Arabidopsis thaliana: one gene and its partners. The protein of the gene in region 2 interacts with the protein of the main gene of each other region in a pairwise test. Each region holds a gene or a part of one and is shown on either strand. Other genes may lie near its edges.

The links.
Region 1: the proteins of AT2G38250 (region 2) and TDF1 interact in binary tests that used the Arabidopsis thaliana proteins (3 or more experiments, as listed by UniProt).
Region 3: the proteins of AT2G38250 (region 2) and AT1G24040 interact in binary tests that used the Arabidopsis thaliana proteins (3 or more experiments, as listed by UniProt).

The regions. Positions count from the first base shown.
Region 1 is NC_003074.8:10,673,213-10,677,800, forward strand, and holds TDF1 (Duplicated homeodomain-like superfamily protein), read right to left. Parts: upstream 2,513-4,588; coding exon 2,380-2,512; intron 2,289-2,379; coding exon 2,159-2,288; intron 2,058-2,158; coding exon 1,367-2,057; 3' UTR 1,296-1,366; downstream 1-1,295. Other genes in the region: AT3G28460 (methyltransferase), read right to left, coding at 1-109, 221-325, 399-503, 583-681, 763-854, 932-1,085; AT3G28480 (Oxoglutarate/iron-dependent oxygenase), read right to left, coding at 3,054-3,355, 3,534-3,594, 3,695-3,870, 3,974-4,031, 4,091-4,153, 4,471-4,536. UniProt on the Arabidopsis thaliana protein: Required for anther development and early tapetal function during microspore maturation. Regulates callose dissolution required for microspores release from the tetrads.
Region 2 is NC_003071.7:16,015,617-16,021,222, reverse strand, and holds AT2G38250 (Homeodomain-like superfamily protein), read right to left. Parts: upstream 3,014-5,606; 5' UTR 2,840-3,013; coding exon 2,534-2,839; intron 2,287-2,533; coding exon 1,723-2,286; 3' UTR 1,067-1,722; downstream 1-1,066.
Region 3 is NC_003070.9:8,502,326-8,508,904, forward strand, and holds AT1G24040 (Acyl-CoA N-acyltransferases (NAT) superfamily protein), read right to left. Parts: upstream 4,471-6,579; 5' UTR 4,429-4,470; coding exon 3,469-4,428; 3' UTR 3,463-3,468; exon of another isoform or gene 3,367-3,462; 3' UTR 3,288-3,366; intron 3,136-3,287; exon of another isoform or gene 2,871-3,135; coding exon of another isoform or gene 2,631-2,870; intron 2,547-2,630; coding exon of another isoform or gene 2,406-2,546; intron 2,253-2,405; coding exon of another isoform or gene 2,103-2,252; intron 2,014-2,102; coding exon of another isoform or gene 1,850-2,013; intron 1,782-1,849; coding exon of another isoform or gene 1,583-1,781; 3' UTR 1,465-1,582; downstream 1-1,464. Other genes in the region: AT1G24030 (Protein kinase superfamily protein), read left to right, coding at 1,069-1,177, 1,277-1,464, 1,583-1,781, 1,850-2,013, 2,103-2,207, 2,406-2,528, 2,631-2,870; AT1G24050 (RNA-processing, Lsm domain-containing protein), read left to right, coding at 4,732-4,885, 4,992-5,157, 5,253-5,333, 5,818-5,941, 6,073-6,114. UniProt on the Arabidopsis thaliana protein: Protein acetyltransferase with dual specificity triggering both N-alpha-acetylation (NTA), with a large spectrum of modified N-termini, including methionine, alanine, serine and to a lower extent threonine and valine as substrates, and epsilon-lysine acetylation (KA).

The DNA of each region.
Region 1 (4,588 bases), on a different chromosome or scaffold from region 2:
TTTCAACTCGAGCAGTGTGTATAACCGAAGCATCAACAAACCCAGTGTGTTCCAAGTTTGGTTGTAGAACATTTGAAACAACCCAAGGATCCATCTCAACAAAATGTGCCTGTTGAGAAATAATTCAAGTCCAAGATGGAAACACATGTTTAGTGATCACTTAAAGTAAAAGAGAATCCAACAAAGATCATACAATCACAGTTCTTTATTTCTTTGCTACCTCAGAACATCCTCGACTGATTGCTTCAATCCCAACAGACCCTGTACCACTATACAAATCCAACCACCTACCAGGACGCAGAGACGTTGGACAACCACCAGCAGCCTAAATAATGAGAAGAATCATGTTAACTCAGACACCAACAAACGCAGAAGCTCCTAAAATTAGTTACTCTTACCTGGAGAATTCCAAAAGCTGCTCCTTTAACAACTTCCATCATAGGTCTCACATCCATTCCCTTAAGAGAAAGCAATTTCTTTCGTTTCGCCGTTCCTGCAAGAACCTAAAACAATCTACACATTATAGATATCCAACAACAGTAACCCCCAAAGCAAAACACAATAAAATAAGCAAATACACACCTGCAGTAACCTATGAGTTGTTCTTGGCTGTACAACAACAACTTCTTCTACTTGTTGACTATTCCTTCCACTCATTTTCTCTTCTTTCCTTCTCGCCTTCTACAATGAGAACTAAAAGTTTCATCTCTCAACTATTCATCACAAACCAAAAAAAAACAATTATGGAAAAAAAAAACAGACCTTAGATTGAGACCCAAAGTCATCATTAGCATCATAACCATATCGTTCCAGCAACAATTTCTTATCCTCACTTGCCAAACCAGTTCCTGAATCTGAAAACCCACAAGACATAAACTGAGAAAAGACAGAACTTTATGAATGATTCTGTGAAAGATGCAAAATTTCACACTTTTACGACTCGAGACGACGAATGTTCGAACACGCAGTGGAGTAGAACCCTTAAAGAGATGAATTTGAGGGAAAGAAGAATACGAAACACCCAGATTCTTATTCATGTCAATGTTGATTCCTAGTGGAGAGAAAGATGACAACAAAACCGCCATTGCTGATAAAGTTTTCGACTTTGGGAGCTTGCAGAGAGAAATCGTCTGCAGAGAAGACGAATGATAGAAATAGAGTTAAAACCTTCTTCCAGAGCCAGAGGATCTATTTCTGTATCAAAAGGTGTTTAATTTTGAGCTTTGTATTTCAAGAGACTTGGTTACTACTTAAGTACTAAGTAAGTACTAATAAGAGAAGAGATATAACTTATTGAAAAAACATAGTTCTTGAAAATCATAAACCAGTTACAAGAGAAGTAACAACAATAGGGAAAAGAAGGGATCTAATAATCGAAATCATTCAAGAGTTGAGGAAACTGTGACAACATCTCTTGGTCTTTATCTAGTATTTCGTCAACGAAGGAACTCGCGGAATGACATGTTCCCGAGGCCTTTGAATCGATGTTTTGAGAGATGTATTCGGCTTCGATGTTGAAATGATGTTCGTTCTGCGTAAAAGTGAGGTCGCTAGTAGCTGAGGATCCCACTACTTGAGGAACCGGGTCCGAGAGAAGGAAATCGCTCCAGTAGAAGTTAGTAACCGGTGTTTGAGGTACTTGGTTTGGCTGAGTGATACTAGTAGAAGATGATGAGGAAGAGCATGAAGATGTGGTTCCATTGAGCAGATGATTTGGATGGCTATAGAAATGAAATGGAGTAGTTTGGTACTCAGAGGAATTTGTAAACATCATTGGAGAGTTGGTGTAATAACTCTCATGGTTTGTTGTTGTGTTTCTCATCATTTCCCAAGCTGAGTTGGATTGTGTGAGTATAGAGTTGTTAGATGGTTCTGTTTTGAAGGATGCATTTCCATGGCCGCTAATGTTTCTGAATTCTGCAAGGAGTTGAGAAACCGGTTTATGAGTCACCGGGTCTATCCCCATTTTCATCAGCTTCTTCTTCAGCTTTGTGTTCCAGTGATTCTTCACATCATTATCCGTTCTTCCTGGAAGCTTTCGTGCAATGGAAGACCACCTGAAAACATCAGAGGTTACAATTATTACTAATGAGATAAAAAGTTTGATAGATTCTTGTCATTGTTAAAAAGTTAGTTAGCAATTAGGTTGCTTCATTACCTGCTGCCAATGGCTCTATGACACTCAATGATAAGCTCTTCTTCTTGGGTAGAGAAGCTGTCATGTTTAAGGTCAGGTCTTAAGTAATTAGTCCATCTTAGTCTACAGCTCTTTCCACATCGATTCAGACCTGCGCCGAAGAACGAAAAATAACTCAGACTTGTTTGAAATGAGATTTCTTAAGAGTTAAGAGAAATGAGAGAGTTTTTTTTTGGAAAAACCTGCTTTTTTGGGGATCAAGCTCCAGTTTCCTACACCATGGATAGCAACATAAGCAAGGATCTTAGCGTCTTCTTCCTCGGTCCAGAGACCTTTCTTGACATTGGACTTGTCACAACAAGGAGGTCTTCCCATTTTTTGGTATTCAAACACAAGAGAGAAGATGAAGAAGAAGAAGAAGCTGAGAAATGTCTGAAAGGACAACAACAAAGGCTTTATGGAAATAGAGTGATGCAATGCAAAAGCTCTGAGAGAGAAAGAGAGAGAAGGTGAGGATCTCATGCTTGAAGGCTCCTAATTAACGGTAATTGCATGATTGTTACACTTCATTAGAAATATAGAGTCTCGAAGTGCATGACGTAGTTTTGGCAACTATCATCTCATGTACACTACTACTGATTGTATAATACTTAATTCAGTTATCATGTATCGCTTGCTTCAGGTTGATGATAACATAAACCGACTTTTATTAAGTTTTGGTCTAGTTATGAACCATAAGGAACATAACTTGCACATGAAACCAGTAACATAGAATCAGAATTATTTTTTTAGTATATAGTTCTAAATTTTTCATTCTATTGACGATATGTTTATCTACCCGAATGGCGAAAACCCGGTTTTTCGCTATACAAAAATTTTGATCCTTTAATAAGAGCTTTGATTTTACTTGTTGTTCTTAAGATGAGCAAGCTTTGCAACTCTTTCTGCAATATCCATGGTCTTTGTCTGAACCAACCATGTATGTTGGATTCTTCTGGCATTCCCCTGCCTTTGCCCATTTTTCGCAGCTCACATTCTCGTCCATACATCCAGATTGCTTATTAAACGCTCTTTCGAATGACTTAACGTGAATCCATCTGGTTGCTGACCATTTCTCTCCCTCAACCACTGGACAGCTTCCATGTAAGCTATTTGAATCTGTGGTTGCATTTGGGTGAAGATTGAAGAACAGTAATGCATCCCCTTTCCTCGGTTTCACTGCAAAGATACATAAATCAGATAGAGCAATATACCATTTGGAAAAATAGTTATACCTTTCATTATCATTTAATCAAACTACTACAATCCCCATTTGTGTTGAGCTTTCACAATTAAGCCAAACGCATGTTCAGGATACAGTATTCTATATCAAGCAAGCTATATACAGTGATCTTACCTGCATAGCCTTGTTTTGCACATTCGGTCCAGCTATCGTCTTTCAACTGAGTTGCTTTACCCTACAAGAATGTGTGATCAAACTGAAATGAGGCTACTCAGGAAACGAAATCGAAATATTAGATGAAAATTTAAGGAACCAGAAGTAATATATGTCTTTACCTTCCACATGGGAAACACTGTTTCTCCTCCCTTTTCAACATTGGACAAGTACATCAATACTGTGGCAATCCGATGACCACCGAGCTCTAGATTAGCCTGGTCGTGAAAGTAGTCAAAATGCGGTTCATACTTTTGACCATTCTCATAATGCAATATTTGCATGGATTCACCATTCTCTGATCCGCAACACAGACAAAAAAGAGATGAGAAGTTGTAAGCAACTAAAGTCTAAACAAAGAGACAGAATTAGGAAATCTATGTACATATGGCCAAAAATACCTTCGGGAAGAAAGGTCCACGCAGCAAGTTTTGCCTCCACATTACTTACTATATCATCCTACACATACATAGAACCATACCATTCAAACTCAAAGGTTAACAATCAGTGAATCACACAATCTCTAGACTATCCATATTTGCAATGAAGCTGCTACTTTGTCTAACCACAGAAACAGAATCCTACAGTATTGCAGGAAATGCATGTTTACTTGGTCAAGCGTTGATCAGTAACATAGAACTAGTCTGCCTAATTGCTGAAGTAATCTAACGGAGTACAACGCACACAAAAGCCACATTAGACCTCATAATAACAATCATTCTCCAATGATTAGCACGAAACTCAACATCCAAATCAATCCAGATACAAAACCACCGCTTCTAACAAGTCATTGCAAAGTTCTACGATATAGCCAACATAAATTTCTATAGATGCCTACATGTTCAGAATATTAACTAACCTGTCGTTTGGAGAGAAACATTCCAGAACTAGTGCGTACTTCACTCTCAACACTCTCACCAGAATCATTATCAGCCACCATTGACTTCTCAAGCTTCCCTTTCGCCTAAAAAAACAAATATCACAATCACAAAAACATTCTTTCATCATCATCATCA
Region 2 (5,606 bases):
TAAGGTCTTTCAGTCTGGGAAGCGTGAAGGTGAAGAGGATCTAAACTGCATCAAAAAGGAGAAGTGATAGAGTTAAGTATCAATTTAGAAGCTAAAACGTTTTCTTAGAATAACAGAAAACAAAACAGAGTACATCTTGACGAGATTGAAAAATGCTTATACTAACAAGAAAAGGAAGAGATTTTCGAAGAAGAAATATGGAGCATGTGAAAATTTAAGAAGGTATGGCACATATTGCTTAGACAAAATCATAAGAGGATGAAAGAGACACTGTAAGAAAAAATGAAACAAATAAAACGAGTTTTTGCAAAAAGATAGGGAGAGTCATAGCTCTCTGTAAAAAAAATTGTGAAAGAAATTCATATACATATTGAAAAGAATGTGAGAAAAATATGAGTTGTTAAAAGAAAGTGTAGATAAACTTACGAATATATTTCTACAAAATATCTTATTTTTAGAAGAGCTATACTAACTAATGCAGCGAAGATAAACGAAAAACAATAGTAAATTTGCGGGTACCAAAATGAGAATCGTCGAATCTATTTCCTATACAACAATTTATTTAATACGTAAAAAAAGACGTCGTTATCCTAAATATCTAAAGCTAAAGAGAGAGTCATTAACCAAAAAAATGTTCTTTTGCTAAATGTTGTAAAATCTAAGAGTTGTATAAAGGTTATTTCTAGTTATGTATTTAAATTGTTACTATTTGTCATGATAATTTTAAAATTCAAAGAGTTTATAATATTAACAACAAATAGATATATAAAATCATATTTTCAAAATTTTCAATAAAATATTTTAGTCACACAAAAAACTGTTAAATTTTTTACAAATAAATCCACGCATGAGTTCATAGCTAGTAAATAAATAAAGAAACAACAATGTTACCAAAAAAAAACTGGTTAACGTATTTTCTAGAATTAACATGTGATGTGTATTTTATTCATTAAGCATCTCCTTAGTATATAATTATATAAATATAAATTTACAAATAAAATAATACAAGATCTTTACTAATCTTTATGTGGAAAACAAAAAAAAAACATAAGTAAAACAAATTTATGTGGATAAGAAACGCCATACGCATTCACGTATTATCTTGCCATGTTAGATATGATTCTCAATGTTACAAGAAAACATTTATGGTAAAATAATAAAAGTTTAGATCGCAGACAATGGACCTAAATGATCCCATAATTCATAGGATAAGTTTTCATTCTTGTTTCGAGCATGTTTAATATTTCCACTAACTGTTTTGCCCTCTTGATCTCTACATTCTCATCAAAGTTAATTAGTTCATAATACCATAAACTATTAGTATCCTCGTTCTCTTCTGCATGAAGATAATATTTGAAACCGATATTACATTCGCTGCACTATATATGGATTTGTAGGTTAACTCTAACAAAATCCAAATTACTCTAAAATACTACACATACGGTCCTACAAATTACTAATTAAAACCAGTATACTACTAAGATTAAATGATATGCTATAAGAATTTGGCTCGCCAAAATATAAACTAGGAAGAAATAATGTGGGGATGATAAATTACTAAAGCCTCACTAAAACTCAAATATGTCATCATATCAATCAATATATGAGTGTTGAGATTTGCCGTAGATATTATCTTCCCCCACCAAATAATTGTACCTACACTACACCCCAAACAAGCATATAAGAACAAGTTAATTTAGGTTAAGCAAAGCTGACAAAAGATTAGAGGGAACCATCTCTAGTAAGCTTAGCAAGCAATGCATTGATAAGTGAATCCCTCTTCTCTGCTCTCATCTCCTCCCTCGACCGCCGTTGCTCCTCTCTATCCCGCCACATCCGCTCCATTGCCAACCTCTCCTTCTCAAGCTCCTCCATCTTCCTTCTCCATTCTTCTTCTTTCTCTGCTCTTTCCTTCTCCCTAGCCTCCCATCCTTCTCTCCACTCGCTCTCCATTCTCACTTGATGTCTCATAAACTCTTCCAACACTTCTCTTACACCATTATTGCTATTACTACTATTACTACCGCCTTTTCGCTTCTTTGCAATGTTCTTTTTCGGATTTAGAATTTTTGGGTCGTTGCTGACATCTACTAGCTCTTCATTCACATTCTCTTCTTCCTCATCTGAAGAATACTCTCTCTTTCTCGCTGCCCCGCTTGTTCCCCCTCCTCCTCCCTCGGATTCAGCCCATAGCATTCTCTGCATTCTAGTGGTAAATATATTTTGCATATCATCATAAAAAGGGAACTGTTGTCTCGCTGTCTCTGCCTCCATTGTCTCACATCCCTAGAAACATCAAGCAATACATCACCAATGAGATTGTATACATATAATTAAACTACTTAGCAGATTATGGACAACAAGATTCAGAAATATTTACAATGGTGTTTGTCTATATGTCCCGGAAAGATTATGGACTATAAGATTCAATATTTCTTGGTTACAAATTTTTATTTATTTATTTGTTCCATGCAAGACCTCCAAGATTATAAAACATCCACAAAATGAAAGAAGAGGGAGAGAGAGAATAGACCTTAAAACGAGTGACGAGGTTCTTCCACTTGCACTTGCACTGTTCAGGGCTACGAGGAAAGCTTTTGTCTCTCATCTTGTTAGAGATAACTTCCCAAAGAAGCTTGTTCCGTTTTGTCTCCATGAAAGTTTGATCTAGCTCTCCTCTTATCCCTATCAACTCTTTTGTCTCTTCGACGCTCCACTGTGGAAACCTATCCCCAACAGCTACCGGAGAGGCTATTTCCGGCGTTTGCGATTGAGTATGAAGATGATGCTTGTTGAGATATTGAAGCTGGTGAAGGTGATGATGCTGATGTCCATCCATATGAAAGAATCAAGAAGAAGAAACTATAAAAAAAAAATAAAGAAAAAAAATCACCAAACGATCTCTAAAGCAAAGATTTTGAAGAAGCTTTCACTTTTTCAGATCGAAAAACAAAATATTTCTTGTTTTTCTTTATCTTTTGGTTTTTGTGTATTTGTAATGTGAAAACGTTGGAAGAAAGAAGTCTAATTTTCTTTGATCGCAATTCTTTTCTTCTTCTCCACTCTCTCTTTCTCCTGTCGCCATCTGTCTACGCGTTTACTTTTTTCTCTGTCTTGGATTTTTTCTAATACAATTTACTTTTTTTTTGTGTGTCTTCTTTTGACAAAATATTAAAAAGAAAAAAGCTTTCGGCAGATTTGTCATTTCATTTCTAATAGTATATAATTAGTTAAAATATCGATTGAAATGGTATTATAGAGCAAAGGATAATTAGCGTCTTAAACTACCAGTCAATTCGTTAATAAAAGATATGTTGACTGGTGATCAGGAGAGATGTGGATATTTCTATCGTTATCTCATAATGTAATCACTTTCATTTGACAAATAGTATTCTAGATTCTGACAGTCGACATATTTGTCAAATATGTGTATGAAATGAGTTTATTACTGAGTTGGTTTGGTAAAATGGTAGGGATAATAAATTTAATTAAAATGATGATAATTTTTTATATTGCTTTAAATATAAAAAACAGTAAAATATTAAAGAGAAAGTCAAGTCTTTAAATAATATAATACAATTTTTCTTTTGTCAAAATAAATTAGAGTGAAAGTGTAAGAAAAACATAGGTGAGTGGTAAATATTTCCTATTGAGTTATAGAGCTCTTTATGTATTTTCTGTTTAATCTGCTTTTTCATTCATACTATAATGAGGAATCAAATTGATGTGACGATAACATTGCGTTGAGGTTTCATCATCACCGCGAGAAGTTTCGGTTTGTATACTTTTTGTAATAATACTGTGTGGTTATTAATTCTCGGCGACCAGTCATATCCTTAGCTTCATGCCCAAGTTTCTATTTACTACTTTGTCTTTGTTTATTTTTCCCTTTTTCAACAAAATTCGATATTTTTCTAATTTTGAGCACCTTTTTTAAATACAAAACTAGGTGACTTCTCTAGAATCTCTCGTTTCCTAAATTCCTTCACGTGTTATTCCTTGTATGGTTATCAAAATAACAAAAGTGTTGGAATGATTTCTTCATTCACGAAATGACAAATTATAGTGTGACACGTGCGTGGAACTAGCCAGCTAGGAACAACATTCTAGAGATGTGAAACTTGTTAGGCCAATTTTGAATTTTTTTAAAAGCATGAACATGACAAAAAAAAGCATGTGCCAAACTAATTCATTTTCAACTTAAGGTTTATTATGGGTTGGCAGCCCAAACCCATTCTACACAGTTTGGGCCCAATTTGTCTTCGAGTGATGTACAATTTGGCAATTGGACTCACATAAGAACAAATTTTGTGTAACCCCTACAATAGATGAAAACTGCAACTCTCTTCTAAAGTAAAGGACTAAAGTCAACCTAGTCCCTTAAATGAGGTTTGGAAAATTCTTTGTCTGCCTCGTTCACTTTTATTTTGCCTCGTTTTATGTATCTGTTGAAGGAACACCACTTGGTTGATTATGGTACGAAAAACATGTTATTTGGACTTTCACCAAATTTATGTCGATATAAAAAGATCAGTACAAATTTGTTATTGATTTTATTTTTAGAGGCTACATTTCCTATGGTTTGTGACCAGACTATAGCTAGCTACAATTTTTTTATTGTATTTTTATTGCGAAAAACTTAGTTGCATATATTATTCACTAAAACAGAGATTTTTTGTATAGTAAACAGTGAAGGTAAAATTGTTAGCAAACAAAAATTTTGTAGAGTCAAGAAAAGAATTTTTATATATATATATATATATATTTTTTAGAAACAACATATTTTTAATAATAAAAATAGGAAGCTTCAAATACAGCATTGAAAAGAGTTTAACGAAGAATTTTTGTTTTCGATTGTATTTAAATTTATATAATATATACAAACAAAAAAAAAAAAAAAAAAAAAATTGTCACGTGTGCGTTTGGTAGCTGTAAATGAATGCATCTTACACAGTAGCCCACATGTCGATTTTGGTTTTTCTTCATTTTTTCTTCACCACATAGCTGTTGTCTTCAAAACAATCAACGAGTTTTTTAGATTTGTTGATTTTGTTGTTTTGGATTATTGTTGATTTTGCCATTTTAGATTTTTCACTTTATCTATAAAAAAAAAAAAAACTATTTTCTGCCACTTAAAAGCTAAAATTTTGAGAAACTTTTTAAATAAAAATATGTATTTGAGAATTTTGTTTCATTATGTTTCCATTTTTTTTTTATAAAATACATAATAACAAATATTATACCCTAAAAAAATAGAACCAAGTAAACCTAAATGTGTAAATTGTAACTTTAGATATAATTTTTTCGGCAAATCTATGAATGCCACTAAAAATCCTTATCTGGTAATTGATTCATTTATTTATTTATTTATCACACTATATCACATCATTTACGTTCACAATATTCAACATATTAGGCGGACAATTTCTTTTGTCAACATCACGGATCTAGTATTTCCTTTTGACATATCTCGATCTAGAAGATGAAAGAAATAGATATATAGGATGAAATGAATTTAATACCATCTAAAAGAACGTTCCTATTATATATGCTAATGTATAGCATCAAAATACCATTTGTACAAAGAAAAACAATAGATAATCGAA
Region 3 (6,579 bases), on a different chromosome or scaffold from region 2:
TGTATTATCATTGATCAAAAATAAATCAGTAAACGTTCACGTCACACAATTAGTCAAACATAACAACTTAATAATTGCAAATTGCATTTCATAAGAATAAAACTTTCTAATCATAAAGAGCTGAATGTTTCCTCTTTATTTTCTACAATAATCTTCTTGGTGGCACTGGCATGGTTAGGTGCAATGCAATAAAGCCAAAACAATTTCTTCATCGTTAGGTACTTTGATTTCACCATTGTGCGAGAAAACAGCATGTTGGTTTCCATTGATATAAAACGACAACCACTCTTCAATCGTAAAATAAAAATGTTCTAAGAATGAGTCATCATTTCTATTCGAAGCAAAAGTTCATCCGAACCCAAATCCTTAATATACAATTGGATACGTTAAAGTTACAGTATCCTAGGATTTGTCAATCTTATTAAAAAAAACTAAGATTGCTTTAAGAAAATTATAGGTTTTCTCCACTTATAAAGTTTAACTTTTATAATCTCTCTCTCAACGAACTATGAAAACAACATTAGTAAATAGTAATATAGAAGTCTAGAGAAAAAAGTTGAGACGAAAAGGGTAAGGAAACACTCTGAAAGCAGCTTCCCATCTCTATTTGATCGACAGAGATACGTACGTACACAAACTGGTTAGAAGGAGATAGATTCAGACAAGAGAACCAAACCGAGAATTTGAGCTTAGAAAAGTTAAGGAAACATCAAGTCTTTACTTTCTCAAGATGGCTCTCAATTTCTTTTGCTTCACGTACATGTAATCTACGTATTCTTCAGCTCTACCGTCTCTTTCTCTCTCTCTTGAACTTTCGGTAGTTGAAATACTGCTGTTGAGTATTTCAGAAACCTAACCCTCAAAATCAATTAACTTTATTGCACTCTATATTTATCATCTTCAACCACAACAATCTTCTGTTTCTTTGGAAGCAACTAACTACAAAGAACATCTTCACGACTAGAAAGACACATACCCTTCTGTCTTAAGGACGAGACCAGAAGCTTCTTCTATCGGCTTTGTAATGGTCTACAAAGGATAAGAAAAAACCAAATCCAAACTAAAGCTATGCATTTTCCACTTGTTTCGGCTTGGAACAAGAGAAGGAGAAGCAAATCATATGATACGGATCCATGTACGTTCCTTTTCTCCATCATCTTCGCCAGATGGCATAAAAGTATGTTACTGTTTTTGTTTTTCGACATTACTACTACTGAATATAAAGGGTTTAGGTAAAACTGAATCACCATCTGTTTGAAACTAACCTTCTTCTCAGGGGTCTACAGAACAGCAGAATGCTGGCAAATCGAAGATCAGGCTTCTCAGCCAAGGAAGCGAAGATTCGGGTCATCAGTTTATACCCTCAAGGAGATGGAGGAGGCCACAAGTTCTTTCAGTGATGAGAATCTCCTCGGTAAAGGAGGCTTTGGCCGAGTTTACCAAGGCACTTTAAAAACAGGAGAGGTAGGAACTATATAGCTTCATTTATGTGATTTACAGGCTTTGTAATGTTACAAAAACTTTTCTATCGAAGAGGAGCTATTAGAGTAGGATACATATCTTAATCCCTTGTTATTTGAAGGTTGTTGCAATCAAGAAGATGGATTTACCTACGTTTAAAAAGGCTGACGGAGAAAGAGAATTTCGTGTGGAGGTGGATATCTTGAGCAGACTCGACCACCCAAATCTGGTCTCTTTGATCGGCTATTGTGCAGATGGGAAACACCGGTTCCTAGTATATGAATATATGCAAAATGGAAACCTGCAAGATCATTTGAATGGTAAGTCAACAAAATAAGAGCCCAATCCACTAAAACCAATTGGCGACTAAACCGCGTCTTTATCACAGGAATCAAAGAAGCAAAAATAAGCTGGCCAATAAGGCTCAGAATTGCACTAGGAGCAGCAAAAGGACTCGCGTATCTCCATTCAAGTTCTTCTGTTGGGATTCCAATTGTTCACAGAGACTTCAAATCCACCAACGTTCTACTAGACTCCAATTATAATGCAAAGGTTCTTATACAGTTAATAGAAATGGAGGGTTTATGCAGCACTAATACCAAGCATAGACTAAAACTAAGATGTGAGTGTAATCCTTGCAGATATCCGACTTTGGACTAGCAAAGTTGATGCCAGAAGGAAAGGATACTTGTGTCACAGCAAGAGTTCTAGGAACATTCGGCTATTTCGACCCAGAATATACATCGGTAAAGATTCTTACTTATATTTCACACATGATTCTCTTCCGATAGGGTAAACTAGACACTACTTAAGAAAAATTAAAACTTGCTAGTAATGACATAAAATAGCCTGGAAAAGGAACTTTAATCACACTCACATATCAGAGCCAATAGGCAACGGAGGACAATTTTTAGCATAATTTTTGTTCCCTTCTTCTGTGGCAGACAGGTAAACTTACTCTACAAAGCGACATTTATGCATTTGGGGTTGTGCTGCTAGAACTACTTACTGGACGCAGAGCAGTTGACTTAACTCAGGGCCCAAATGAACAGAACCTGGTGCTACAGGTAAAATGGACCTTTTAGGTTCTATGATTCACAAACACAAAAAGTTCAAAGATCAGGAAACTTAACATAGGAATAAACTGATCAATTATCTCTACGTTTCAGGTTAGGAATATACTGAATGATAGAAAGAAATTGCGTAAGGTTATAGATGTCGAGCTGCCTCGGAATTCATACAGCATGGAAGCTATAACCATGTTTGCTGATCTAGCATCACGGTGCATCCGTATAGAGAGTAAAGAGCGACCTTCAGTGATGGATTGTGTTAAGGAACTGCAACTAATTATCTACACAAACTCGAAGGGTGGTTTGGGTGGGACGATTCCTACATTCAGAAGGCTCTAGACACTGAATTCTTCGAAACAAGTAAAATGGATTACTGTCATTTTTCCTAAAATGAGAGGTCACTGATAAAAAAACACTTGATAAATATAAACAAACAATACTAATTATGAATTACCGGATAATTTCAATTCAACTTCCAGCTAGGAAACTTTGATCAAGCGATATTATTTGGATATATATACTATAATTTCACTAAGAAAATCAAGCACTAGATGTATCCGTATAGTATGTTGTATTTGCTGCTATGAATGTTTTGCTTTAAGAGAAATGAGTACATAAATTCAGGGGTGTAGTCTTGTTTTTTCTTTCCTTCTTTCGCCTAATGCCTAAAGAATTAACCACATGTCTATGAACAAGAAATACAATCGCTGCCAATACAGGAAGCAGATAACAAAGATAAGAGTGTGTGTGGAGTACCTCTACTAAGATCATATAAACAATAGGTCGAAGCAAACGGGATTATCAACCCGACCCTTGGTCATGTCACATTTAGCTCCTACATAATAAAGCCAATCACAATGTTTGTTATAAATTCAGAAAAGGTTGAGAAGAAGACTAAAAGCTAATTGGTACACTGATGGAAAAACTGTACCCATGTTTACACATTTGCAGAGGAGGTCAGCTCATTATCAGACCCCACCATTTCTACTATAGGATTGGTGCATAGTGGAAGAAGTTTCTTCCGCATCAAATGCTTACGCCGCTGTAACATCAGAAGGACCAAAACTGTATCTGTCTTAACAACCTCGTATCCTGCCTTCTTGTACATATTGAAAGGAGCCTCATCAACCATCCTACAATGCAAGTATACATCTTTTGATGGACTAATCTGAGATATCAGTTCCTCACTCGCCTTCAACAAATGCCACCCAATTCCTCTCCTTCTAAGATCCTCTTTGACAGTCATGTTACAGATATAAGGTGATTCCTTAGGAGGAGTTGGAGAAGGAGGAGAAGCATTAGCGCCTCGTTTCTCCAAACAAACCTCAACAGTTCCAGCCATCACAGCCTCCTCCTCTCCATCATCACTAAACTCATCAACTTTTTTCCTAAAGAAACCAACTAAAGTAACTGCGTGTGGCAACACTTCTCTTCTCTCAATCAAATACTGCTTAATCAAAAACCGTAACACAGACTGATAACCAGAAGGTAATAACATCGATTCACCAAATGACTCAGCCAATAGATGCACCGTTGAATCCATCTCTTCATGTCTCATAACTCGAACCCACATCGATCCAGATTCAAGCTCTTGAAAATACGCAAATCCTTCAAGAGTTTTAAGCTTCTCTAACTCATCGTTACTCAAAAACCTCCCGGTACGAAACGATTCCTCTAGAAACGCGTAATTCCCGGTCGATTTAGAGTTTTCTTCTCCAGTTTCTGTAGCTGTCGAAACTGAAGAAGGAGGGAAAGCGAATCTGAGATTGGAGCGGTGAGATTTACACGAGTAGAGTAATGGATATCTATGTGAAGAAGACGAGAAGCCAAACTTCGTTGATTGGGTTGGTTTGAGAGAATCAACAGAGAAAGCTAGTGAGATGCTTAAAGCCGCCATTGACACACACACACACGATTTTCTCCGATTTGATTGTGGTTCAGTGTTCGCTAATCTGTTTATAACGAAATAAAATGGATAAAGTAACAGTCATACACTAATCTTTAAAACGCCGCGTTTTGAACTAATCATGAAGCTCAGTAGTTATTGGGCCCTTATGGCCCATATACTGATATAAAAATGAGGAAACTGTTATAAGCCAGTAGCTATTTGGGCTTAAGGCCCATATTGCGATATATATAGTTTTAATTTTTCCGAAGTTCGGCGATTTCAGAAGACGGAGGAGGAGCGAGGACGGCCGCCATGGATCCAGCAGGAGCATCGGTGGCCAGCGCAATCGGAGGAGAAGGAGAGAAATTCGCGGTGGGGAATATTTATTCAGTGAAGGTGATCACCGGAGATGAGTTCAGAGGGATCGTCATGGCTTACGACCCCATCCCCAACTTCGTCTTTTTTGATATCCTTAATTTCTTTAATTGTTTGTTTCATCAAAATTTGAGATTTAGGTATTTTCAATGTCTTGACCTGAATTGTGTTATCCTTGACGAGTTATTGGTTATTACAAGAGGGTACAAAACCTAGACCTGGGCATTTGAAGAACACTCGGATGGTGAATGCGAGTTTTATTACAGGGCTTTCGTATTTAGGCAAAACTGAAGATCCACTTGATTCAGACAACTTTTCTGTTGATCTTAATGGTCTCCGAGCTAAAGAGGCACTTGCTATCAGGTGATAAGATATTTTGTTGTTGAATCCTTTCAAAATGCAATTTTTATTGCTATTTGCTTGTTTTGAGCTTACTTGGGAAAACGTATTGAGCACAGGCAAGCGGAAGCAGATGCTGAAAGAATGGGAGTTGGTGTTACCGCTGAGGCTCAGAGCATCTTCGACGCGTTGTCTAAGACGTAAGGATCTTCTCTTTTTATACGTTTTCGGATCGAAAAATAAGCTAATCTCTAAGAAGGAAACACAGCTTAGAGTATACGGTAGAGAGGTGGGACGAGATCGTAATCTAATGTTGTTTAGTTGAACTATTAGTTCTTTGTAAACAATTGCTTGGGTTGGAGGATTTTGTTTTGTGCGTCTAATGTGTTATTCCCAAAGATAAATTGTTAGGATCTGGACATGATTTAGTGTTGTTTTGCTCTTGGTTTCCGGTGATGCTAGTTTGCAACTATATATATGTAAAGTTTCTATGTTTGTGGTTGTTGTAGATTACATATGTTGTGGGCTCTAGTGTCAAGTATCTTTAGTCTTCTTTGTGATACTGATACAGTTAAGAAGCTGTCTAGATACATAGTTTTAGACTACATAAATCCTTAAACTTTCTTTGTTTGAATTTGCTTTTTCTCTTTCGAATGAATCACATGTGAATTATTTTCCTTTTAGGCTTCCTGTGCAATGGGAAAACTCAGACATTCTGGTGATGAAAGAGGTACGCGTTCGTAGCCCGTATCTTTCAGATTGTGTCTTTGGAGGAACTGATGCTGCCAACAACCGAGTCAAGAAAGTGGTAAGCGTCACTTTCAGTTCATTGTGTAATGCCAATTAAGCCTCTGGTGTTATATTAGTCATTTGCATTCAATCGTGTAACGTTGATCAAGCCTTGGGTGTGATAGTAATGCAATTTTGCTTTTATCGCAGCTTGAGCTGGAAAGACGAAGGTTGCAACTCTTTGGCACATGAGGCTAGTGAAAAGAGTCGGTCAGTGAAATAGCGAGAAAGGGTTCGTTGCTACTAACCCGAAAGGCGTCTATAGATCTGATCGACCAGCGAAAAGCGGATATGTTTGCTTTTCGCATGTTGTTGTCTTTACTTAGAATCTGCTTGTCCTTGTAAAAGCAGATTAGAGATTTCTTGAGTTACAGCCTTACAGGGATTGAAATTTGGACTAATTTCACCCTGGTTATTGACAAGAACAGTGAGGTCTTGTCTTGTCCACTTTTTACCAGGGCTTGGTTTATTTATCGCCTGGAACTGTAAACTATTCTGAAATGTTGAACTACTTTTTAGTGACTTCTCCGGTAGATTTTTACATCTCGTGTGCTCTAGAACTGAGTTCCTTGATCAATGCAAAAGTTATAAGAAATATTTTTCTGTTGATTGTTAGTATTGAACTGTGTATAGATTCCAATGATGATCATAATAGAC